Saccharomyces cerevisiae S288C: one gene and its partners. Changing the gene in region 1 together with any one later gene gives a genetic interaction. Each region holds a gene or a part of one and is shown in the gene's direction. Other genes may lie near its edges.

Region 1 (6,693 bases):
TTAGGATCCTTTAACTTAACCAATTCTACTATGATTCCATTATTGAGTGGTTCTGAAGGGAAACTGAATTCGTTTACTGTCACTGAAGACTCCATAGTGGCATGGAATGATACTTCATTATTTATCTATAGAAACCAAGAATGGAATATTACCTCGTTACCTGGCAATGCTAGCTCTATTAGCTCTGTTTCAGCTATATACACAGATATTGAATCCAACACTTTGAACAAGAGAGGAATCAACAATGTTAATAATGGCAGTATCCTCTTACTTAATGGTAATTTTAATATTTCGCAATACGGATACCTACAAAGTTTGTTGTTTGATTTCCAAAAATGGACCCCATATTTTATTTCAGAAACAACAAATACTTCCAATTACAATCCAATAATTTTTATTAATAGAGACGTTTCAACTGAATTCAACTCTCAGTCACCACTTGCCAATGTGAACATTACTGTGACAAGTCCTCAGTCAACATCATCCCAGCCTCCATCTTCATCGGCAAGCAGTGAATCTAAATCAAAATCGAAGAAGAAGAAAATAGGTCGTGGTTTTGTCGTTTTAATTGGTCTTGCACTAGCATTAGGGACAGTTTCTGTCCTTGGTATTGCAGGCGTCATTCTTGCCTACGTGTTTAAGGATCCAGAGGGTGATTATAAGCCCATTAAACCGCGAATTGATGAGAATGAAATGCTTGATACCGTCCCACCCGAAAAACTTATGAAGTTTGTCTAATCGGGGTTGTATTATATAATATATAACTACTTAAAATAATGAACACTTAATATAATAAACAAAAATAAAATAGGAAAATCCTAAGTTGATCAAAACTTAATAAAAATTACTACTTGCACTGGAATGTTAGTAGTAAATTCAACACGTATTGGAAGTCACTTGGAATGTTACCAATACTGCCTGAGAATGAGTGATTTTAACTTATAATACAAAAGTCCGGGTTACAGCCCTTTAAATTTTTTTCACGGCAATTTTTCTTTACTTGGTGAAGCCATGAAAAATGTCATCGGTTCGAAGAAATAGGCCTAATGATAAACAAAAAGGTAATTCAAGGTTTTTGAACTGCTTTGTTGTTTTTATTTGTATCTTTTTTTGGTACGTTAGTTAAGTTAATTTTTGGCTCCTTGTCCAGCTTTTCCTTCATCTGCTACCGTTATATTTTCAGATATTAATTTAGTAGCAGAGAGCAAGTACCGAAAGGAAAACAAAACAGAATGATTTACAAAATGGCACACGTACAGCTTTTGTTGTTGTATTTTTTTGTGTCAACAGTCAAAGCCTTCTATTTACCAGGTGTAGCGCCTACCACTTACAGGGAAAATGACAACATCCCATTGCTCGTTAATCATTTAACTCCATCAATGAATTATCAACACAAAGATGAGGACGGTAATAACGTTTCTGGCGATAAAGAAAATTTCTTGTACTCATACGACTACTATTACAATAGATTCCATTTTTGTCAGCCTGAAAAAGTCGAAAAGCAACCTGAATCCTTGGGATCCGTTATATTTGGTGATCGAATTTATAATTCACCATTCCAATTGAATATGTTACAAGAAAAAGAGTGTGAATCCCTGTGTAAGACCGTAATTCCGGGAGATGATGCTAAATTCATCAATAAATTGATAAAAAATGGCTTCTTCCAAAACTGGCTTATTGATGGATTACCGGCTGCAAGAGAGGTTTATGATGGCAGAACTAAGACTAGTTTTTATGGTGCTGGCTTCAACCTTGGTTTTGTACAGGTAACTCAAGGAACCGACATTGAGGCTACTCCAAAAGGGGCAGAAACCACCGATAAGGATGTGGAATTGGAAACACGTAATGATCGTAACATGGTGAAAACTTACGAATTGCCTTACTTTGCCAACCATTTCGATATTATGATTGAATATCACGATCGTGGTGAAGGTAACTATCGTGTAGTTGGTGTTATCGTCGAACCGGTTTCCATAAAACGTTCCAGTCCAGGTACATGTGAAACGACTGGCAGCCCATTGATGCTAGACGAAGGAAATGATAATGAAGTTTATTTTACTTATTCCGTTAAATTCAATGAATCAGCGACTTCTTGGGCCACCAGGTGGGACAAATATTTACACGTATATGATCCTTCTATTCAATGGTTTTCTTTGATAAATTTCTCCTTAGTTGTTGTCTTATTGTCATCTGTTGTTATCCATTCGCTATTGCGCGCACTGAAAAGTGATTTCGCACGTTACAACGAGTTAAATTTGGACGATGATTTTCAAGAAGATTCGGGTTGGAAATTGAATCATGGTGATGTTTTTCGTTCGCCAAGTCAATCGCTAACCCTTTCAATTTTGGTTGGTTCAGGAGTTCAATTATTTTTGATGGTAACTTGCAGTATCTTCTTCGCTGCATTGGGTTTCCTATCACCTAGTTCTAGAGGTTCCTTAGCCACTGTTATGTTTATCTTATATGCATTATTCGGGTTTGTCGGCTCTTATACATCTATGGGCATCTACAAATTTTTCAATGGGCCATACTGGAAGGCAAACTTGATATTGACTCCACTTCTAGTTCCTGGTGCTATTCTGCTAATAATTATTGCGTTGAACTTTTTCTTAATGTTTGTTCATTCTTCTGGTGTCATACCAGCAAGTACTCTGTTTTTTATGGTTTTTCTATGGTTTTTGTTCTCAATCCCATTATCATTTGCTGGTTCATTGATTGCCAGGAAAAGATGTCACTGGGATGAACATCCAACCAAGACAAACCAAATCGCAAGACAAATACCCTTCCAGCCTTGGTATTTAAAGACTATACCAGCTACTTTGATTGCTGGTATCTTTCCATTTGGCTCCATCGCCGTTGAGTTGTATTTCATATACACAAGTTTATGGTTTAATAAGATTTTTTACATGTTTGGTTTCCTCTTTTTCTCTTTCCTCCTATTAACTTTGACAAGTTCACTCGTCACTATTTTGATCACTTATCATTCCTTATGCCTGGAGAACTGGAAGTGGCAATGGAGAGGATTCATAATTGGAGGCGCCGGTTGTGCTTTGTATGTGTTTATTCATTCTATTTTATTCACCAAATTTAAGTTGGGTGGATTCACGACTATTGTCTTATACGTGGGATACTCCTCAGTCATTTCATTACTCTGCTGTTTGGTAACGGGGTCAATTGGCTTTATCAGCAGTATGCTCTTTGTTAGAAAAATCTACTCATCCATTAAAGTTGACTAGGCCAACGAAAAAGAGGTCCTATATGTTGGGTTAGGGCGTTTTTTATTTATTTCTCTACTGTTTATCTTTTTTAACAAAGAAAATGCTAGGCCCTATGGCCTTTGGACATGATACATAGTTTTTAGTAATATTTTTTTCAAAAAGATTAAAAGTACTATAGGATTCGAAGTTGTAATTTTTGGTGTATATACATTTATTTATTTGAATCTTTTTTCCATGATTCTGGAATGACATTCTGCGTTACAGTTTGGGAATAAATGCTCCTTTAAGGAAATAATATACAGCTTTAGTGTACAGGGTTAATCTATAGCCACATTAAAAGGACTTGATTATGACTTAAAATAAGTGACACTGACGCTTTAATATTCAGTCCGGGTGATGCTGTCATCTAGGACAAAACAATGGGAGTGGATAAGTAAGCAAGTAATAAGATAAAACAGTATTAGAAATTGGTAGTAGGCTGAAGCTTGTTGAAGCTGGTGGACAGAAAAACGCTTATATTGTGAAGATCCTTTTGGATGTCCAACTTTAAGAATTTTACTTTAAATTCCTTTGAAGATTATTACGGAAAGCCCTCTGAAACGCCAAAAATGGAGGAAGAGAAATTGGAAGTAACAAATGTGAATGCGTCCTCTTCAAAAAAAGTACATAAAAGCAAAAAGAGCACTTCAAAATATGACCAAAAGAATGTATTTAGAAACTCAATGACAGGAATTGCACAAATACTGCCAACAAAACCTGTGAAAATTATAGAGCAGAATATTGATTTTGCCAATCCGAAGAGCTTCGACCTCCTGCAATCTACACATACTATTTGCTTTAATAAAAGAATTAACACTACTAATACCAAGTTGAATGTGGAAACTCATACTTCTAGTGATATTGACAACGACATATTGCACGTTGGAGCCCCCACAGACTTGGGGGGAAACAGTAATGACGAAGCGGAAACAAGGCAACTAAGGAAGTTTCGATGGTCCAATAATAAAGAAAAAAGTCTTTGTGAAAAGTTAACAGTCATATATTGGGCCCTCTTGCTCCACACAACAAAGAGAGCAAGTAAAAGGAGACCTATATTATGTCATCAAATGATAGCTGAGTTTTTTAACAGAGTTTATAAGGAGAAATCAAGAGTACCTATAACTTCAAGATATATTAGAGATAACCTCGTCGCTTGGGTCACTCAAGGAAAGGAATTGCATGAAAAAGGTTGGGTAGGGGATGCCAAAACTGGCGATTTGCAAGAACAGTTCAATATAGCCACTGTCAAATTATATGAAAGCGCAGAAGACGGGCGTCTTTCCATTGGTAAAGACAAACCCTTTCGAGAGGAAAACACCGGCAGTGATAGTTTGGTTCGAGCGGAAGAGGACTCTACCGCTGTCACTAATGAAAATGGACATATTTCTTCAGAAAAAAACTTGAAAAAAGATCGTAGAGAGTCTATAAGGAACCAAATCCTGACTTTAGACCTAAATGACGAAGATTTTTTCCAAAATGTAATGAAAGTTTTATCAGCCATTGATGAACCAGAACTGAGACAATATGTAATCGTAATCTCAGAATTAGTTAGCATGGAAATGGATGATGGTAAAACGGTACGAGAAAAGCTCCGAGACGTTGAATTGAATATTAATAGGTTGCAGGTTGATATAAAAGAAATAAAGGAAATGCTTGTTACACTGATAAACAAATGACTGAAAAAAGCAACTCCTGGATCGTTCGAACATTCTCACTCCATTAATTGTATGTTAGCTCAGGAATTCAACTGGAAGAAAGTCCAGGCAAGTACCTGACTTATTTTCTAGAGGACCCCCCAGAGATAAGTCTGGTGATGTGGTCCTTTAATAATTTCATAGGGACAATTCATTTTGCGTTTTTAATTTTGCTCGGTGAACAAAGGATGGCAGAGCATGTTATCGTTTTCTTTTTTTTTTCCTGTTTTAGAGAAAAAGGTTATATATGTAATAATACTCTGATATATGTACACAAATAATAGGTTTAGGTAAGGAATTTATATAATCGTAAGGATATCATTGATAAGGGAAATTTTTTTTTTTTTTTTTCAAACAAATACTATGATAATTAAAATGAAGAAAAAACGTCAGTCATGAAAAATTAAGAGAGATGATGGAGCGTCTCACTTCAAACGCATTATTCTAGCATGGCCTTGTACCACGGTTTGTCGTCATGTTGTAAATCCTCTAAATCGTAATTATTACCTCTTCTGGATGAAGGAATCCAGCCTTCAGATTTCCAAGGTAAAACACCTTCTTCCCATAATTCTTGAATTTCTTCTAACGATAGGCCTTTAGTTTCTGGAACAAAGAAAAAGACATAAAAAAACATGGCAACCAAACAGCCCATGAAGACATAACCGTAGTAGAAGTTAATGGCAGATGTGATGAATGGGGTGAAAAATGCAATCAAGAACCCCCATACCCAATTGGAAGCAGAGGCCAACGCCATACATTTCGACTTGACTCTCAGTGGGAATGATTCTGCTGTGATGACCCAGGCAACTGGCGCCCAGGTTGTGGCATAACAGAAAATATAAAAACAGGTAAAGACAATCATACAGTTACCGGCACCTTTAGAAGATGGCTGGCTTTTACCGTGAGGATATAATCTAGTAACACCAACAGAGGCGTAGATGACCATACAAGCCATCATAGTGGCAGCGCCCAAAAGTAAACATTTACGATGTCCCAAGTTTTCGACAGTCCACAAACTAAAGAAAGTGGAGGCAAAGTTGACTACACCAATGACAATGGATGTTTCAAAGGAATCATCCAGGCCAACTGACTTGAAAATAACGGTACCGTAGTAGAAAAAATAATTGTTACCGGTTAATTGTTGGAACATTTGAACAAACACACCCATCAACAAACGTTGAAATACTTTGGTCTTGGTGGAAAATAATTCCCCCCAGGACGCATTGCCAGCCAGTTTTTCAGCTTCTATACCGGCCATGATCAGATCTAACTCTGCCTGGACGGCAGGATCCTCTGGTGACACCTTGTTAGACTTAGCAATGGAACGCTTGGCGTCTTCTACCTTATTCACCTCACATAAATAACGTGGGGATTCAGGAACTAACGTCAAAGCGCCAATCATAAATAATGACCAAGCGAAACATAGCCCTAATGGAACTCTCCATTGAACTGAGTTCGAATAGCTCTTTGTACCGTAATTAGTACAGTAGCCCAAAAAGATACCTGCAGTAATCATCAGCTGATAACAAGAAACTAGTGTGCCTCTCAAGTGCTTTGGAGCAATTTCAGAGATCAACATAGGACATAAGACGGCGATGCCGCCGACACCCAAACCAGATATGATTCTACCAATGAAATATTGGTACCACTTGTTGATAGAGGCAATTTGAATGATAATACCAACTATATAAACCGAGACGACAATCGAAAGACCCTTTTTACGGCCATACATATCTCCACCT
Region 2 (5,723 bases), on another chromosome or scaffold:
GCCGCCTGCTTGCACCCAATGCAGGAAGAGAAAGATCGGGTGCGACAGGGCAAAACCGATATGTGGGAATTGCGTCAAGTATAACAAGCCGGACTGTTTTTATCCAGATGGACCTGGTAAGATGGTCGCTGTGCCCTCTGCGTCCGGGATGTCCACGCACGGCAATGGCCAAGGTTCCAACCATTTTAGTCAGGGAAACGGTGTAAATCAGAAAAACGTAATGATTCAAACGCAGTATCCGATTATGCAAACGTCGATAGAGGCATTCAACTTCTCGTTCAACCCCTCTGTGGATACTGCGATGCAGTGGACCAAGGCCGCTAGCTACCAGAATAATAACACCAATAATAATACTGCTCCTCGTCAGAATAGTAGTACCGTTAGTAGTAATGTTCATGGAAACACTATTGTGAGAAGCGATAGTCCAGATGTGCCCTCCATGGATCAGATTAGAGAATATAACACACGATTACAACTGGTTAACGCTCAAAGTTTTGACTATACAGATAACCCATACTCTTTTAATGTTGGTATCAATCAAGACTCGGCCGTTTTCGATCTAATGACTTCTCCGTTTACTCAAGAGGAAGTATTAATCAAGGAGATAGACTTTTTAAAAAACAAATTGCTTGATTTACAAAGCTTGCAACTGAAAAGTTTGAAAGAAAAATCGAATTTAAATGCCGACAATACCACGGCAAACAAAATTAACAAAACAGGTGAGAATTCTAAGAAAGGCAAGGTTGACGGTAAAAGAGCCGGATTTGATCATCAGACTTCAAGGACTTCTCAGTCCTCACAAAAATACTTTACAGCGCTCACAATAACAGATGTGCAAAGTTTAGTCCAAGTGAAACCGTTGAAGGATACCCCCAACTACCTTTTCACTAAAAACTTCATCATTTTTAGAGATCATTATCTTTTCAAGTTCTATAATATTTTGCACGATATCTGCCATATTAATCAGTTCAAAGTAAGTCCTCCTAACAATAAAAATCACCAACAATATATGGAAGTTTGCAAAGTTAACTTCCCACCAAAAGCAATAATTATTGAGACACTAAACTCTGAATCCCTTAACAATCTGAATATTGAAGAATTTTTGCCAATCTTTGACAAAACCCTCTTACTAGAATTTGTTCATAACTCTTTTCCAAATGGTGATACCTGTCCTTCATTCTCAACGGTCGATCTTCCTTTATCTCAACTGACCAAACTAGGCGAATTAACTGTGCTTCTACTGTTGTTAAACGATTCAATGACCCTATTCAATAAGCAGGCTATTAATAACCATGTTTCGGCATTAATGAATAATTTGAGGTTGATTCGAAGCCAAATCACATTGATAAACCTGGAATATTATGACCAAGAGACAATCAAATTTATTGCCATCACAAAATTTTATGAATCTCTGTACATGCATGATGATCATAAATCAAGTTTAGACGAAGATTTGAGCTGTCTGTTAAGCTTCCAGATAAAAGATTTCAAGTTATTCCATTTTTTGAAAAAAATGTATTACTCAAGACATTCGCTTCTAGGTCAGTCTTCATTCATGGTACCCGCTGCTGAAAACCTATCTCCGATACCTGCCTCTATTGATACGAACGACATTCCTTTAATTGCTAACGATTTAAAATTACTGGAAACGCAAGCAAAATTGATAAATATTCTGCAAGGTGTTCCTTTCTACTTGCCAGTAAATTTAACCAAAATTGAAAGTCTGTTAGAAACCTTGACTATGGGCGTGAGTAATACAGTAGACTTATATTTTCATGACAACGAAGTCAGAAAAGAATGGAAAGACACTTTAAATTTTATCAATACCATTGTTTATACAAATTTTTTCCTTTTTGTTCAAAACGAATCCTCTTTGTCCATGGCAGTTCAACATTCTTCTAACAACAATAAGACCTCGAACTCTGAAAGATGTGCAAAGGATCTGATGAAAATTATTTCTAATATGCACATTTTTTACTCAATAACATTTAATTTTATCTTCCCCATAAAGTCGATAAAGTCATTTTCAAGCGGCAATAATCGCTTTCATTCTAATGGTAAAGAATTTTTATTCGCAAATCATTTTATTGAAATCTTACAGAATTTTATAGCAATCACATTTGCTATTTTCCAACGTTGTGAAGTAATATTATATGACGAATTTTACAAAAATCTTTCAAATGAGGAGATTAATGTTCAATTGCTATTGATTCATGACAAGATTTTGGAAATTTTAAAAAAAATAGAAATTATCGTATCCTTTTTACGAGATGAAATGAATAGCAACGGAAGTTTCAAATCTATTAAAGGTTTCAACAAGGTTTTGAATCTGATTAAATATATGCTGAGATTTAGCAAGAAAAAACAAAATTTTGCGAGAAACTCTGATAACAATAATGTTACAGATTATAGTCAGTCGGCGAAGAACAAAAATGTTCTCTTGAAATTCCCCGTTAGTGAACTGAACAGAATCTATTTAAAATTTAAGGAGATTTCAGATTTTTTAATGGAAAGAGAAGTTGTCCAAAGGAGTATAATTATTGACAAGGATTTGGAATCTGATAATCTGGGTATTACTACGGCAAACTTCAACGATTTCTATGATGCATTTTATAATTAGTAAGCCGATCCCATTACCGACATTTGGGCGCTATACGTGCATATGTTCATGTATGTATCTGTATTTAAAACACTTTTGTATTATTTTTCCTCATATATGTGTATAGGTTTATACGGATGATTTAATTATTACTTCACCACCCTTTATTTCAGGCTGATATCTTAGCCTTGTTACTAGTTAGAAAAAGACATTTTTGCTGTCAGTCACTGTCAAGAGATTCTTTTGCTGGCATTTCTTCTAGAAGCAAAAAGAGCGATGCGTCTTTTCCGCTGAACCGTTCCAGCAAAAAAGACTACCAACGCAATATGGATTGTCAGAATCATATAAAAGAGAAGCAAATAACTCCTTGTCTTGTATCAATTGCATTATAATATCTTCTTGTTAGTGCAATATCATATAGAAGTCATCGAAATAGATATTAAGAAAAACAAACTGTACAATCAATCAATCAATCATCACATAAAATGTTCAGCGAATTAATTAACTTCCAAAATGAAGGTCATGAGTGCCAATGCCAATGTGGTAGCTGCAAAAATAATGAACAATGCCAAAAATCATGTAGCTGCCCAACGGGGTGTAACAGCGACGACAAATGCCCCTGCGGTAACAAGTCTGAAGAAACCAAGAAGTCATGCTGCTCTGGGAAATGAAACGAATAGTCTTTAATATATTCATCTAACTATTTGCTGTTTTTAATTTTTAAAAGGAGAAGGAAGTTTAATCGACGATTCTACTCAGTTTGAGTACACTTATGTATTTTGTTTAGATACTTTGTTAATTTATAGGTATACGTTAATAATTAAGAAAAGGAAATAAAGTATCTCCATATGTCGCCCCAAGAATAAAATATTATTACCAAATTCTAGTTTGCCTAACTTACAACTCTGTATAGAATCCCCAGATTTCGAATAAAAAAAAAAAAAAAAGCTATTCATGGTACCCGCTGCTGAAAACCTATCTCCGATACCTGCCTCTATTGATACGAACGACATTCCTTTAATTGCTAACGATTTAAAATTACTGGAAACGCAAGCAAAATTGATAAATATTCTGCAAGGTGTTCCTTTCTACTTGCCAGTAAATTTAACCAAAATTGAAAGTCTGTTAGAAACCTTGACTATGGGCGTGAGTAATACAGTAGACTTATATTTTCATGACAACGAAGTCAGAAAAGAATGGAAAGACACTTTAAATTTTATCAATACCATTGTTTATACAAATTTTTTCCTTTTTGTTCAAAACGAATCCTCTTTGTCCATGGCAGTTCAACATTCTTCTAACAACAATAAGACCTCGAACTCTGAAAGATGTGCAAAGGATCTGATGAAAATTATTTCTAATATGCACATTTTTTACTCAATAACATTTAATTTTATCTTCCCCATAAAGTCGATAAAGTCATTTTCAAGCGGCAATAATCGCTTTCATTCTAATGGTAAAGAATTTTTATTCGCAAATCATTTTATTGAAATCTTACAGAATTTTATAGCAATCACATTTGCTATTTTCCAACGTTGTGAAGTAATATTATATGACGAATTTTACAAAAATCTTTCAAATGAGGAGATTAATGTTCAATTGCTATTGATTCATGACAAGATTTTGGAAATTTTAAAAAAAATAGAAATTATCGTATCCTTTTTACGAGATGAAATGAATAGCAACGGAAGTTTCAAATCTATTAAAGGTTTCAACAAGGTTTTGAATCTGATTAAATATATGCTGAGATTTAGCAAGAAAAAACAAAATTTTGCGAGAAACTCTGATAACAATAATGTTACAGATTATAGTCAGTCGGCGAAGAACAAAAATGTTCTCTTGAAATTCCCCGTTAGTGAACTGAACAGAATCTATTTAAAATTTAAGGAGATTTCAGATTTTTTAATGGAAAGAGAAGTTGTCCAAAGGAGTATAATTATTGACAAGGATTTGGAATCTGATAATCTGGGTATTACTACGGCAAACTTCAACGATTTCTATGATGCATTTTATAATTAGTAAGCCGATCCCATTACCGACATTTGGGCGCTATACGTGCATATGTTCATGTATGTATCTGTATTTAAAACACTTTTGTATTATTTTTCCTCATATATGTGTATAGGTTTATACGGATGATTTAATTATTACTTCACCACCCTTTATTTCAGGCTGATATCTTAGCCTTGTTACTAGTTAGAAAAAGACATTTTTGCTGTCAGTCACTGTCAAGAGATTCTTTTGCTGGCATTTCTTCTAGAAGCAAAAAGAGCGATGCGTCTTTTCCGCTGAACCGTTCCAGCAAAAAAGACTACCAACGCAATATGGATTGTCAGAATCATATAAAAGAGAAGCAAATAACTCCTTGTCTTGTATCAATTGCATTATAATATCTTCTTGTTAGTGCAATATCATATAGAAGTCATCGAAATAGATATTAAGAAAAACAAACTGTACAATCAATCAATCAATCATCACATAAAATGTTCAGCGAATTAATTAACTTCCAAAATGAAGGTCATGAGTGCCAATGCCAATGTGGTAGCTGCAAAAATAATGAACAATGCCAAAAATCATGTAGCTGCCCAACGGGGTGTAACAGCGACGACAAATGCCCCTGCGGTAACAAGTCTGAAGAAACCAAGAAGTCATGCTGCTCTGGGAAATGAAACGAATAGTCTTTAATATATTCATCTAACTATTTGCTGTTTTTAATTTTTAAAAGGAGAAGGAAGTTTAATCGACGATTCTACTCAGTTTGAGTACACTTATGTATTTTGTTTAGATACTTTGTTAATTTATAGGTATACGTTAATAATTAAGAAAAGGAAATAAAGTATCTCCATATGTCGCCCCAAGAATAAAATATTATTACCAAATTCTAGTTTGCCTAACTTACAACTCTGTATAGAATCCCCAGATTTCGAATAAAAAAAAAGCATATGTATTAATCCTAAAATGTATTATGAGAACGTCTTTTAAAGGTAAAATGCTGTTATCCCCGTCACTTTCAATGATCTATTTATTTGAAGCGGATAGTACAACAGATCAGTCTAAAACGTATAAGCTCTTAGACCGAGAAACCAATATTCAAATAATGACTTTATTTTTAATATACACTTCA
Region 3 (5,925 bases), on another chromosome or scaffold:
TTCGGCGTAGGGGTCTTCCAGGGAAATGATTGGGTATTTCTTTAGCAATGAATGATAATATTCTGCTAACTGAGCTGGACTGAGCCAGTGAGATGGGTCAGAGTTCGGTTCCTTGAAATTTAGGTCGTATTTCCCGTCCTTATAAAAAACAGAAGGAGCACTATCGATTCCTACTTTCACTCTACCCTCGTAACCGCATATGTTAATGGCTTTCACAATCATGTCCAAGGCGTCCTCGGCAGTGTCGATATCGGGGGCGACTCCACCCTCGTCACCAACATTTCCAGCGGAAGGTCCATATTGCTCCTTCGCCAATATCTTCAAATGATGGTAAACCTCCGAACCCATCCTCATGGCTTCTGCAAAGCTCTGAGCCCCGACTGGCGCGATCTTGAATTCTTGCATAGCTAAAGAGCCACCGGCGTGGGCTCCACCATTCAAAACATTGAAAAAAGGAACAGGAATAACAAAGGGGTCCTGTCTAGCATCCGCTAACTCGGCTATATACTTGTAGAGAGTAATTCCCTTTTGTGCGGCAGCAGCTCGAGCAACGCACAAGGAAACACCAAGGATAGCATTGGCGCCCAACCTTGACTTGTTAGAAGTTCCGTCTAACGATATCATGAGCTCGTCTATGCCCTTCTGATTGGTTACACATAAGTCGGACTTGATTAAAGCAGGCCCTATGATACTATTGACGTTACTGACTGCCTTGGTCACCCCTTTTCCCATCCATTCGGACTTGTTCCCGTCTCTAAGTTCAACAGCTTCGTGAATGCCGGTGGAGGCACCAGATGGGACGATCGCTCTGAAGAGACCATTCTCTGTTGTAATTTCAACCTCAACAGTCGGATTACCGCGAGAATCATACACCGTTCTAGCATGTACCTTCGTGATGGACATATTTTTATCGTTGAGATTCGATTTTTTCCTCACCTTGTTTTGGTATTTCTATTGCAAGACAAAGTGAAAGAAGAAGAAGTGGTGGTAAAAAATAACTATATATAATGAAAATTGTTACCTGGTGGGAATGCAAACTGTAAGTAATAACCTGCCAGATCCATGTTTCTATTATATACCTAAGAACCAGCCAAGTTAGGTAAACGAGGAGTCTTTCAATATCTCTTTTCTAGTGAGAATGTTATTTAGGTAAATGAACAAGTTACCACTATACTACTCACCCCCTACACTTTGTTTGTGACCTCTCCCCTTATCCAGTTCATCGAAACTTTTTTTTCAACTTGTGGATCTGTGACATTGTCTACAAGAGCCGATTTTGATGTCTGAACAAAAAACAACCTTACCTTTCCAGATGCAACTTTCCAGGAGAGCTGCGTGAGTTTCAAATATTTAACATGTCGGAGAAAGCTCCCAAGTACTTCCTTGTTCTTGTCATTTTTTCCTTATCTCCATCCTTTAAGGAAGCTATTTCCATTATGCGATTCTATAAATCCGAGCATGCGAGTATTTCTTTTCTTGGCGCGGAGTCGCTGATGACGCAATAGGCACATTCATGAACATCCAGGACTGGTAATCTTCTCGTCTTAAAAAAAATCCAACCACCAGTAAAGAAACTCTTGGGTAAAATGCAGTATCTGAAATATTGCATAGCTGCAAATGAAGATATTCAGTATCAGCATAGGTATTTTCATGAAGGATAGGTAAAAAGAAAGAAAAGAAAAATATCTTTTTGACTGTCATTCTTGCAATTATCACAATTAGGGGACTTTAAAACCGATACTTGATATATGAGCACAGTCAAGGGGCCGGTTCTTGAGATTTTAATGGAAAACAAGAAAGTTGCACATACAGGTCTGCTTTTCTTTGCTTGCTCCAGACAACGATACTTAGAACTAAAACATATTTCTAGAACACTTTTCTCCTTCATTCAAAAAGAAAACTGGCCTTGCAATGACTCCAAAAAGAGCGCTAATATCTCTTACTTCATACCACGGTCCCTTCTATAAAGATGGTGCGAAAACAGGCGTTTTTGTAGTTGAGATTTTGCGGTCGTTCGATACTTTCGAAAAGCATGGTTTCGAAGTGGACTTCGTTTCTGAGACTGGTGGATTTGGCTGGGATGAACATTACTTGCCAAAGAGCTTTATTGGTGGCGAAGATAAGATGAACTTTGAAACGAAAAATTCCGCCTTCAATAAGGCGTTAGCGAGGATCAAGACCGCAAATGAAGTCAACGCCAGCGACTATAAAATATTCTTTGCATCTGCTGGACATGGTGCTCTATTTGACTATCCCAAAGCTAAAAATCTGCAAGATATTGCATCCAAGATATATGCCAATGGGGGTGTGATCGCCGCCATCTGTCATGGACCGCTCCTTTTCGATGGATTAATAGATATCAAAACAACAAGACCATTAATCGAAGGCAAAGCTATAACAGGTTTCCCACTCGAGGGTGAAATCGCCCTGGGAGTTGACGACATCTTGAGGAGCAGAAAATTGACAACGGTTGAACGCGTTGCAAACAAGAATAGAGCCAAGTACTTGGCGCCAATTCATCCCTGGGATGACTACTCTATTACCGATGGAAAGCTAGTTACGGGTGTTAACGCAAATTCTTCCTATTCGACCACAATTAGAGCTATAAACGCATTATATAGCTGAAACAAAAGACAAGGGAATTGTTGAAGGGGAGGCTTCTAATGGCCTTCAGTTTCTGTGAAGAGAAGGCTAACAGCTCAATGGTTCGAAAGGTAAAGAAAACGGCAGATCGGTAGCACTCGATTTTGCTAGAATGGAAATCATATAGAGAACAATTGAATAGTAGGCCTTGGTTTTTAGTGTTGTACTCATCATGGTCATATGTGACATAGGTAATGTACATATATATAAAAAAAAAAAAAAAAAAAGCAATGCTGTGAGATCATTCGTTACTTACGAAATACGCAGATTGCAATTTGAAATAAGCTGTGTTTCCTTTTTTCTTTTTTTTTTTTGGCTTGTTATATACAACTTTTTTCTATTTCTGTTCTTTTAGGAGTAATTAATTGGTACATGGGAAATAAATATGAATTATATTAAATGAAGTAAAAGTAAAAGAAAACGGGGAAATTTATCGTTTCGTAGTAAATAGATGATGGACTTGGGCGACAAAATAAATCCTAACCTCTCGTTCTTAGGAATCAACTGCGTCAGCTTCAACCAATCACCCGACATTCTTGAGTCTCTACATCAAGCACTGCCAAATATGGCCTTGCTTGCTTATCCAAACAGTGGTGAAGTTTATGATACTGAAAAGAAGATATGGTTGCCAAATAGCGATAAGCTGAACAGTTGGGATACGGTTGTTAAACAGTACATTAGCAGCGGTGCCCGTATCATTGGTGGTTGTTGCAGAACAAGTCCAAAAGACATCCAAGAGATTTCTGCAGCCGTCAAGAAATACACGTAAATGCCTTTTTAAAGAAACTGGAAAATTCTTAACATTATACATATGCTAGGAAGCAGCATGTTACACTAAATACATTTTATAAACAGCACAAGAAGTATTGTTAATTAATTATCCTTGCCATGTTTTTTTAGAGTCACAAATGCTTTTCCGTACTTCGCCGACAAAAAACAGAGTAAACATCATATGTTTTATAATCTAAAGGAATCAACTAACAGTTCATCAGATGGGAATTTGGGAGAGTGCACAAGTAAGATGGGGTAAAAGAAGATAAATCTCCACCGGATCTAAACCTTTGCCAATAATCCTCACATGGTGGAGCTACAATCTCGCCTTCTCCGACCAGTCACGATTAATTAAATTGCCTAAAATTAACTTTTATATTCCCATACAGTCGATATTGCTAGCTCAAAAGGCGTTATATTCGAAAGTTGTATCCAAATATTCCATCTAATGTATTATTGGCAAAAGGATTCCGTGATCTGTGTTCCCAAGAACAATCATAACCTTGAAAAATTATTCGCCAATCATTACATGCGGCAAACTAAAAAGCCTTTTTTTGTTGGCTCCGTGGCTCTATTGTCGCAGCTGATAAAAGCAGGTGCCCTTGGATATTTTCGAGAAATATATGACAACTTATTGATGTTTTGCTGGATCAAGTTTACGTGAAGGCAAATTTTCATAAAAGTGTAAAGTATTAACTCTTGAAGGTGCAATAACTCAATGGGTTTTTTTACCTTACAACTCAGCACCATCTTATAATTACAAGGCTGTAATATGTGAGGCCTGGCCGAAATTTCATGTGAAACAATACATGGCTTTCCAAATCTACGCATTTTTAGAGCTTTTCGTGAATGTCGTTACGCTGCTCCCTGACTTAACAATCCCGTTAGGGTATCTACTTCAGAGCAGATTACAATATCAAGAATGTTGTTGGTAGGTATTTGTAAACTTGAATTAGAATCCAAAAAGCCTTTACTAGGAGCTATTTTTAATAGTGTTTATGTTTTTCTTCGAGTACTCTATGAGATGGAAAATTGTCGCCTACGAAAATTTAGTACCTTCTCTTTATCCCAGTGACAAGTTATGCATGCTTGTTATACGATGTTAAATCTTCACTTAAAATCCTCTGGAGATGTACCGATTCCGGTAGGTTTCACTCGAAATTTAGCATATTTCAGTTTGGTTTCCTAACACGACCAGTCGCAGGTGAGAGTCTTGGAATTATCCTTCAACACTGTGTGTTATTGTAGATCAGTAATTAAAGATCAGTGTAGTATTTTCAAATATTCTTTACTTCAGTAAGGACAGAATTTGTAGTGACATTTAATGAAGAATAACAAAGGGATATGGATGTCAGGCGACATTACTCGACGTAAATTACTCTCACGAAGGCAAAAATATAACCTAGCCATTGAGTCCTAACCTACTATTAGCGAGATCTTTCTCATTTCGGCTTTAGAGTGTTCATTTTAATACGATGGCCAAAATTAAAAAAATTCGGCCATCAGACCTTGTCGCTTTACTAAGAAGTTATACGGATGAAGATGAATTACTTGAATAAAGATCTTCACTCACTAAATGAAAACATCTGCAGCACGTGCTTGTTATGCTTAACTCCTTGTAAAAATAGTGTATTTCAAAAAATACGCAGTGACAGAGTAAAGATACCCTAACTTTTGTCCGTTGTCCTCCGGTTCCATCATTGCCAAACTAAAGTACTAAGACCATTATCGTGGGTAAGATCATACATTTAAATAAAATAAAAGATACGTAAGCACCTAGATTCCTGGGACAAGCAGCTCAAAATATTTGTTCCTCTTTCCTGTATGAACTGTCAATGCGTTGCTGCTTCGCTGCACGTATTAAGGATTTTGATGGAAGGTCCAACAAAGAAAAAGAAACGTGCGCTTTTAAAAAAAGAAGCTTTTCCTACCAAAAGTTCTTTGATCTGCTTATTCAACGTAGCATCTTATTCGCATACATTGGACTCATGTTTAAGGCATTCTAATCACACCAGTTTCCTTGCATATGAGCAAATATCTGTGCTTGCTGTTCTAACCATACGTACTACTACGTTGATTGGATTATAATGTCCTTTGGGTATTCTCCGATTACGTTGTCCCATTTTTCTTTTTTGCCTTGTTGCGAAGAGCGTTGTTCCGAAAACCGGGTGCACTTTTTGTTCACTTTATATATCCCACGAGGAGACTGCGCGAACATGATATGTTTGACCTGGCATAGTGCTATTGTTCATAAACAATAAGCCCCCTAAATACCTGCATGTACGAAGGTGTACGTACGGTCATTCGCATTTCCCTAGCATTACTTTCAGTACTGGACAGGTTATTTTTACCCCTCTAGTTTGCGACTACCACTAAATGGGCCATTTTTACGTGTCTACGACATATCGCAAGGGTTTTTTTCTTTTGTCTTATTCGAGTAATTATATAAGCGCGCGTAGTCATTTTTTTAGCGAGACCCTAGGGTCCTGTAGCAGTAATTTGAGGTTTTCA
Region 4 (7,154 bases), on another chromosome or scaffold:
TTTATTACAACCAATTTAGAGGATGACGACAACCTGAGTGAAGAGGTTTCTGAAGTTGTCAGTGACATTGAAGAGGACCGAAAGAATTCTGAAGGAAAGACTATCGGTAACGAAATCTATAATACAGATGATGACGGTGATGGCGATACTAGCGAGGATTATAGCGAAACTGCGGAATCAAGAGTTCCCACGAGCAGCACCACCTCATTTCCCGGGTCATCCCAGAGGAGTATATCGGGGTGCACAAAAGTTTTACAAAAGTTTAGATATTCATCTTCATTCAGCGGAGTTAATGCAAATAGACAACCACTATTTCCTCGGCACGTTAATCAAAAAAGTAGAGGAATGGTATACGTCAATCAAAATAGAGATGATGATTGCGACGATAACGATGGTAAAAATCAAATCACGCAAAGGCCATCACTGCGAAAAAGCCTTATTGGTGCCAGGTCACAGAGAATTGTGATTGACATGAAAAGCGTAGATGAACGAAAATCATTCAATTCATCACCAATTTTGCATGAGGAAAGTAAGAAAAGGGACATCGAAACTACTAAGTCAAGCCAAGCTCGGCCGGCAGTCAGATCTATCTCCTTGCTTTCCCAATTTGTTTATAAAGGTAAATAAAAGTTAAGTACTGCACGTTTCATATCGGAGGTATATTTTTCAAATGAAAATCTCGTCGAAATGCCTCAAGACAAGAATTAAAAAATCAATGCCCAGTAAAGTAGGACAGGGTACGGTTGGAGTAAGAAGCCTTCTACTTTGGGAAAAAGCCATTGTACTAGACCAAGAAAAGATTAAAAGTAGATGTGTCAAATTAAGCCACAAGTATGTTTGCCCCGCTATGAACAATGCACGCCGCATGTGAGGACAACTTTATATGTTTTGCGAGCGCGCTGGGCATGTGCAATTCACATTTTTTTTTTCCTTTTTTTTAACCCACTCTATTTATCTAATCAAGCCGCTAGCGGTCTACATTCGCTATCAACTGAACGAATAGTGATGCAATCTGAACCTTAAACTTTTCGCTCGCTTTTACTTTCCAGAAAAAATTTTCTTCATTGGGATTCCTCTGCTGACAAACGGGCTCACAGAACTGAGGAAACGAGAATTTTGTTAATCAAAGCAACATTACGGGAAGGAACGGAACCGTCTCGTTGCTGTGGGCGCGAGTTCGACGCAAGAAAAAAATGCTGCAGCATCGTCTTTTGTGAACGCCAAGAAGGAGTCCGGCGAAGGTATTGGGCGTCACAACCTTTTATTCTCCGCAGTGTCTCTTGCCTACAAAGCCTGCAGAAGCTTTTATGCCGGGGTGTACGTATGTTAATCAGTTACCCTTTCCTACTGTGTGCCGCACCCCTCATTTGCTCTCGATACGAGAAGTTCCGCGCCGATTCTGGCCTTTTTGTTTTCTGGCTAGCCTACTTTCAGGGGACGTGCCTTCTTATGCCGCTGTAAATTACAGCAGAGATTTAGATCTGAGTGAAAACGTGGCGAGGAAAAAGGGTACACCGTTAAAAGCGTAGACACAATCCCACTTTGTTGTGCCTAGTCTTCTCTGCTGTATTTTAATTTTCTGTTTGAACTTTTTTCCGTTCTTTTCCATCATTGTTTAATTTTTACTTTGAGTGGGCTTCTCAAAAGAAAAAAATAGCTGGTATTGTATTTTTACCGTAGGCGTTTTCTTTGTATTTTTCCCAAGAGCAGCAGCACCTTTTATATACCTTGGTTACACATTGTAAGCCTCAAAAATCGTCCTATGTAAGTGTCTTATCGCATCATACTTAAGGTCAAACCTGTAAAGCGCGCTTCTAGTTTTATTTCTACTACTCGCCTTGGCTCTCGAGATCGCTTAGGTAGTTTAATAGTTAGTCACACCCACCCACCCATTCGCTTAGAATATAGAATATAGAGCAGTTGCAGTACACGACTCATTTTAGCAACGATAAGAGTATAAATTGGAAATGCCAAATTTTCAAAAACCTTTTTCTGGTTCTTCGGATGGCAATTCTGTAATGAACGACCTAGGTAATAAAGTCGCCATCAAGGTTTTTGATTGTAGAAGTGCTCAAGATGGCAGCGAAGAGCAGAATGTAAATGTAACCACGAACCAAATGTATTTAATGTTTCAAAGTAACAATTACAACGTGCCGCCACCAAATTACAATACCGAGGATTTGGGTTCTCAAGGACCTCCGACGCATGCTTATTACGCTCCATTTCAGCATCCCATCCATCTTCAACCTCCCGTGCCTCCTGTATATAAGAACAACACATATTCTGCCACAGACCAGTATAGTGACTCCTCGTTTCCTAATACTTCAGGCCACACTCCAGTAATTGATAGTAATTACTATAATGATGCTCTGGCTTCTATACCTACAACAACGACGGGTAGTACTACAATGACTACAGACAATGGCAATACTATTGACAGCGAAGAATACATTGATAACATGGAAGTCTTTAGTAGCGAGGAAAATGAAAACATTGATAATGTAAAGCAAACCGATCTTAAATCTGAAAAGGACTCGAGTCTTCTTTCAGCAGCTTCAATCGTGAAAAAGGAACAATTGTCTGGCTTTGAAAATTTTTTGCCTTTATCGAAGACAGAGTCTCCCTTAGTTACTGCAGACGAGATTAAATCATCTTTGAATTTGGAGAATATTGACAATGCTGACAGTATGAGCTTCAAGTTAAAAACTTCACCTATACGGAAACATTTTCATGTTAAACCCAAAAGAATAACAAGGGTGAGGACAGGAAGGGTATCACACAATATAATTGAAAAGAAATACCGTTCCAATATTAATGATAAAATTGAACAATTAAGGAGAACTGTCCCAACGCTACGAGTAGCGTATAAAAAATGTAACGATCTTCCCATTACATCTAGAGACCTAGCAGACTTAGATGGCCTAGAGCCAGCAACAAAATTGAATAAGGCGTCCATTTTAACGAAATCTATTGAATATATTTGTCATTTAGAAAGAAAGTGCCTACAGCTAAGCTTGGCTAATCAACATTTATCAAATGACACACGGGATTCTTTCGTCCATCTTACCGAGCCATCTCAACCGTTGAGTGACAACAGTAGTAGTGAACAAGTACAAAAGCAAACCAGAAGCTGCCAACGCCAACGGCAGCGGCAGCCACGACAACAACAACCATTGCATAACATTCAATATAATATTCCACATCAAAACGGCCTCATGAGCGGCACCAACAATTCACATGATATGGATTTTAACAACGCAGGAGACTTTTAATACTTGAACAACAAAATGTTTCAACACGACAGATAAAACGAAGAAGAAATACTATATACAAATCTGTACTTGTGTGTATGCGTAACATTGTAATTTTAATTTTGCATTGAGAAATCTATTTTATTCATCTCTTTTAGTGTTAGTAAACACTCGCAGATGCCTTGAGCTCCGCACCGTAATTTAGTTTAATTTATTTCTCTTAGTGCCGTCTAAATAATAACGATCTAAAAAAAAGATTCCGGGAAAAAGAAACTATACCTTATATTTAGTTCATGCAGTTAAATAAATGTTGTTAATTAAGGGTAAAATATGATGATGTATTTATGATAAGTAAAGAGTAGGGGTCACCTAACATTTTTCACAATTGCATTTACTCTTTTCACAAGTGCACGTGGTTTCGCATTTGCATTTTTCACCACAACTCTTACATTGAGGGCTTCCGGTGCTGTGATCACATTTGCACTTTTCACCGCCAGAACAGCTTGGAAGGCAGGTGCTCCCACAATGACAAGAGTCCTTACAACATTCGCCTTAACAGTCACATATTTTTACAGTCATATTTATTGAGTACTATTTGACATTGTAGTGTTCAGTGTAATATCGCTTCGCTATTCTTAGGGGGGACGATGTGCGCCCTTCTTATATAGGCCCCGCTTGATCACTACTTCACAGCCCTCTCGCATCCCTATCCTTTTTTTGTCCGAAAGACAAAAATCACTTCCACACAGCAATAAAGACGCATTTATTGTTCTTTTTCTTAAAAGTGCTTGCAGTAGGGGGTTTAGCAAAAGAAAAAAATATATGACCGGTTGTTATGCGATCTGACGTAAAGTGGAACTCATTTTGAAGGGTTTCTGCACAGAAGTCAATGCCAGAAGGATTTGGAACACCTACAGGACTGAACGTCGGACTAAAATAATGTTGGTAGAGTATGGTATTACTGTAAATTAATCGTTTATACGTGACGTTGACGATGGGATTTGATTTTCTTGTATATCTGACTTGAAAATAAAAGCAATAAATGACCACAAGAAATAAAGGCAGCTGTACTTCTGCAGTTATGTCTTTTCGTCCACTGGGCCTGCCTTAATCACTATTTTCGTAATTATAAATGTGGTTGGTTCGAAGTTCGGTTTCCATACTTTCGTTGTCACTGATGTCTGTAGCTAGATAATTGGAATCTCTAATATGTTTGTCGGCTCCTGGTCTAACAGTTGAGCCTTCTTTATTCTGTCCAATGCCATTTTTTGGTTCATATGAATTGGTTTTTCGCCTAGGCTTCCTTAATAGCTGTCGATATTTGGATAATGTCGTTTTAGTATTAGGTTTGCCATTCGATTTACTTCCAAAACTGGGATTTTGCCCAAATTTATTCTCACTTTTCATTATCTTATGTCTTCTTCTTCTGTCCCTTATTCTTTCGATTGGAGATTTCCAGGTGGGTGAAGGGGATCCTACTAAACTTGATGAATCGTGGGAAGTAGTGTTACTTTTAGTAGTGTTTAAATCCCTGTTTAACGTTATGGCGCTTAAATGCTTGCCTAAATCTTCTCCGTAATAATTGACTGTTGGATTGGCGAAAAATTTGTCCCTATTGTTAATTTTTCGTCCAAGGACTGTTTTTTTGCTTATGTGCAGCTCCCTCTTTTCCAATACTCCAATTAAGCCCCAAACGTTCACTGTTATTAAAACTTTCAAAAGATGAACAAAGTTAAATGTCCAACCTCTAACATGTTTGGTGAAAGCAGCGAAAAAAATTGTGGTGAAATAGAATAAAATAAATATAAGAATATTATACGCCAATAATGGTATAGTTTCGTGATAATTTTCCCAAAGAATTCTCAATTTCGTTTTACACTTACCGTCCGTATTAATTTCAGCAGTTTTCGGTAAAAGTATGTAAGCAAAATTATGCCATGTGAAGTAACAAATAATGGAGATGAAAATTGTGTAAATCAGTAATTCGATTAGCTTGTAAAATACCTTCAAAACTACAAGGTTCTTTCTCCAAAGAAGGTTTGCGAATAAAATGTTATCGGCTAGTGAGAGGAAGCAACCCACGGTAATTATGATATGTGTCCCCTTTTTCATTTTAAATGGGATCCAATTCCAAGTTGGTTTTCCATAATTGGACTGTAAGTAGTGAACAATATAAATCCAGTTTATATCACTCAAAATATTTGCAACTAATTCACATATTTTATATGGTGCAGTTTCTACGATGAACGATTCAAATTGGCTCGCATCCTGGTAGTCATCGTGATATTGGCTGTCAAATATGACGGCTATAGTCTCGTTTAGAAATACAGTTCTTATAATCGCAGAGAAAAGGACGTAAACATGTACAACTTTATTTCTTCTATTATGATTATCGGATGGCAGTAATAAGACAACCAAAAATAGCATCCATGTTGCCACACAGATACACCCAGAAGCAAAGGTGATCATTATCATTCCTAAGGGAAATGGGTCTTTTCCGATGTATTTACTACTGTCATCTTGAACGTTGAATTTGTTGTTGATGTCATAAACAAAGTCTTGTAAGACATGAGAGAAATTAGGATTTGCACTGCCATTATCGCATCGGATCAAAAAGGATGGGTAATTTAAAGTGTAATTATAAGCACGTAAGTGCCACGAATTACTTGCTAGAGAGATGAAGCCACCTGTCAATACATTTACCGTGCATGAGTTTTCATATTTATTTAGTAGTTTATCATCTATCAAATCAGTCAGATTGTAAGCTGGAATGTTGTCGATGTGTTTTTTATAAGGTGGCCGGTGGTCGTAATGCGGTGGTCTTTCATCACCAAGTTTATGTCCCGGAGGACCAGGTATCAAATCGGGAGGTTGAATTCTCTTTCTTGCTGCTTTTTCATACGCACCTACAAGTCCTAAATGGTAAACTAAAGTGAGGAGGTAGTAAAAATGCAATCTTATGATCATTAATCTTGCACGTAAAGACGTTCCGCAACAAAAAATGCTTGTGAGTGCAATATCAATAAGTATTGTTTTTGAGCCTTCGGAGTTGAGCTGCCATTTGGTGGTACTTGTTTTGAATATGATAGAAGCCTTATCTTTGACACTTCTTCCAGTCAATTTTCTCGCCAAGTTAAAAAAAAAAGTTACAATTTTCTCATCACCCCGAAACAACAAAAGAAAGTATATTGCTCTTTAGCCCTTCCTTGCAGATTTTTCAATCCAACGGGGCTAGTAAATCTGATATCAATCACATCGATTGTGTTATCTTCACATGTTGTTTGATAGAAATCAGACCTTCTTTTTTCTTCTTCTCGGATGTTTATAGTTAGTAAAGCTAAACTGTGTATATATGGCAATCACCGAAGACGAATTATTACAGGACAGAAATAAATGGGTTACACACCAGAAATCAGGGACAAAAGGGCCCAACGGAAATTTTATAGGTTGTTTTGTTTATCTGTGCACATAGGCGACAAAACTAAAGTTATGTATCTAAGAATTACAACGTAGTGTAGGTGAGCGGTACTTGAAACTTTCTTTTTGTAAACACCATAAAAGGATATTAATGACATCGGTTGAAATAATGACATCTAGAAGGAAAATTACAACTAGAAGAAAGCGTGATTATGTTGTAAAGAATCCGGCAAATAGAAAAGCTAAAAGATGATTGCAAGGCTAGTGAAGATATTTCAAAACTTAGTTACTCGTTACCTTAAAAACCTTACATTGTTCTCATGTATTACATGAAATTCTATCTTTTCTTTTTGAATAAGCTCTAAGTATTAATCCTCAAGTATTAATTGCCCACCACCTTCTTAAAACTGTTGTTTTTTAATTACAATTTTCTACGCTAACCCGTTTCTTCCATTTTCTCACTGTTAGTATTCCCATATAACGATC

What was found.
Region 2: mutations in SRL2 (region 1) and CUP1-2 together harm fitness more than expected from each alone (negative genetic interaction), as found in Saccharomyces cerevisiae (one large-scale study listed by BioGRID).
Region 3: mutations in SRL2 (region 1) and YMR321C together harm fitness more than expected from each alone (negative genetic interaction), as found in Saccharomyces cerevisiae (one large-scale study listed by BioGRID).
Region 4: mutations in SRL2 (region 1) and HMS1 together harm fitness more than expected from each alone (negative genetic interaction), as found in Saccharomyces cerevisiae (one large-scale study listed by BioGRID).

The regions. Positions count from the first base shown.
Region 1 is NC_001144.5:290,634-297,326, reverse strand, and holds SRL2 (Srl2p), read left to right. Parts: upstream 1-3,754; coding exon 3,755-4,933; downstream 4,934-6,693. Other genes in the region: RAX2 (Rax2p), read left to right, coding at 1-738; EMP70 (Emp70p), read left to right, coding at 1,233-3,236; galactose permease GAL2, read right to left, coding at 5,391-6,693.
Region 2 is NC_001140.6:212,080-217,802, reverse strand, and holds CUP1-2 (metallothionein CUP1-2), read left to right. Parts: upstream 1-3,084; coding exon 3,085-3,270; downstream 3,271-5,723. Other genes in the region: RSC30 (Rsc30p), read left to right, coding at 1-2,620; YHR054C-B (uncharacterized protein), read left to right, coding at 3,113-3,286; YHR054C (uncharacterized protein), read left to right, coding at 3,554-4,618; metallothionein CUP1-1, read left to right, coding at 5,083-5,268; YHR052C-B (uncharacterized protein), read left to right, coding at 5,111-5,284. UniProt on the Saccharomyces cerevisiae protein: Protects the cell against copper toxicity by tightly chelating copper ions. May also act as a depository for copper designated for the effective transfer into the apo forms of copper proteins.
Region 3 is NC_001145.3:915,066-920,990, reverse strand, and holds YMR321C (uncharacterized protein), read left to right. Parts: upstream 1-3,094; coding exon 3,095-3,412; downstream 3,413-5,925. Other genes in the region: phosphopyruvate hydratase ERR3, read right to left, coding at 1-903; SNO4 (glutathione-independent methylglyoxalase family protein), read left to right, coding at 1,912-2,625; YMR320W (uncharacterized protein), read right to left, coding at 3,940-4,245.
Region 4 is NC_001147.6:385,889-393,042, reverse strand, and holds HMS1 (Hms1p), read left to right. Parts: upstream 1-1,967; coding exon 1,968-3,272; downstream 3,273-7,154. Other genes in the region: Rad2 family nuclease EXO1, read left to right, coding at 1-627; YOR032W-A (uncharacterized protein), read right to left, coding at 667-867; DFG16 (Dfg16p), read right to left, coding at 4,359-6,218. UniProt on the Saccharomyces cerevisiae protein: Involved in exit from mitosis and pseudohyphal differentiation.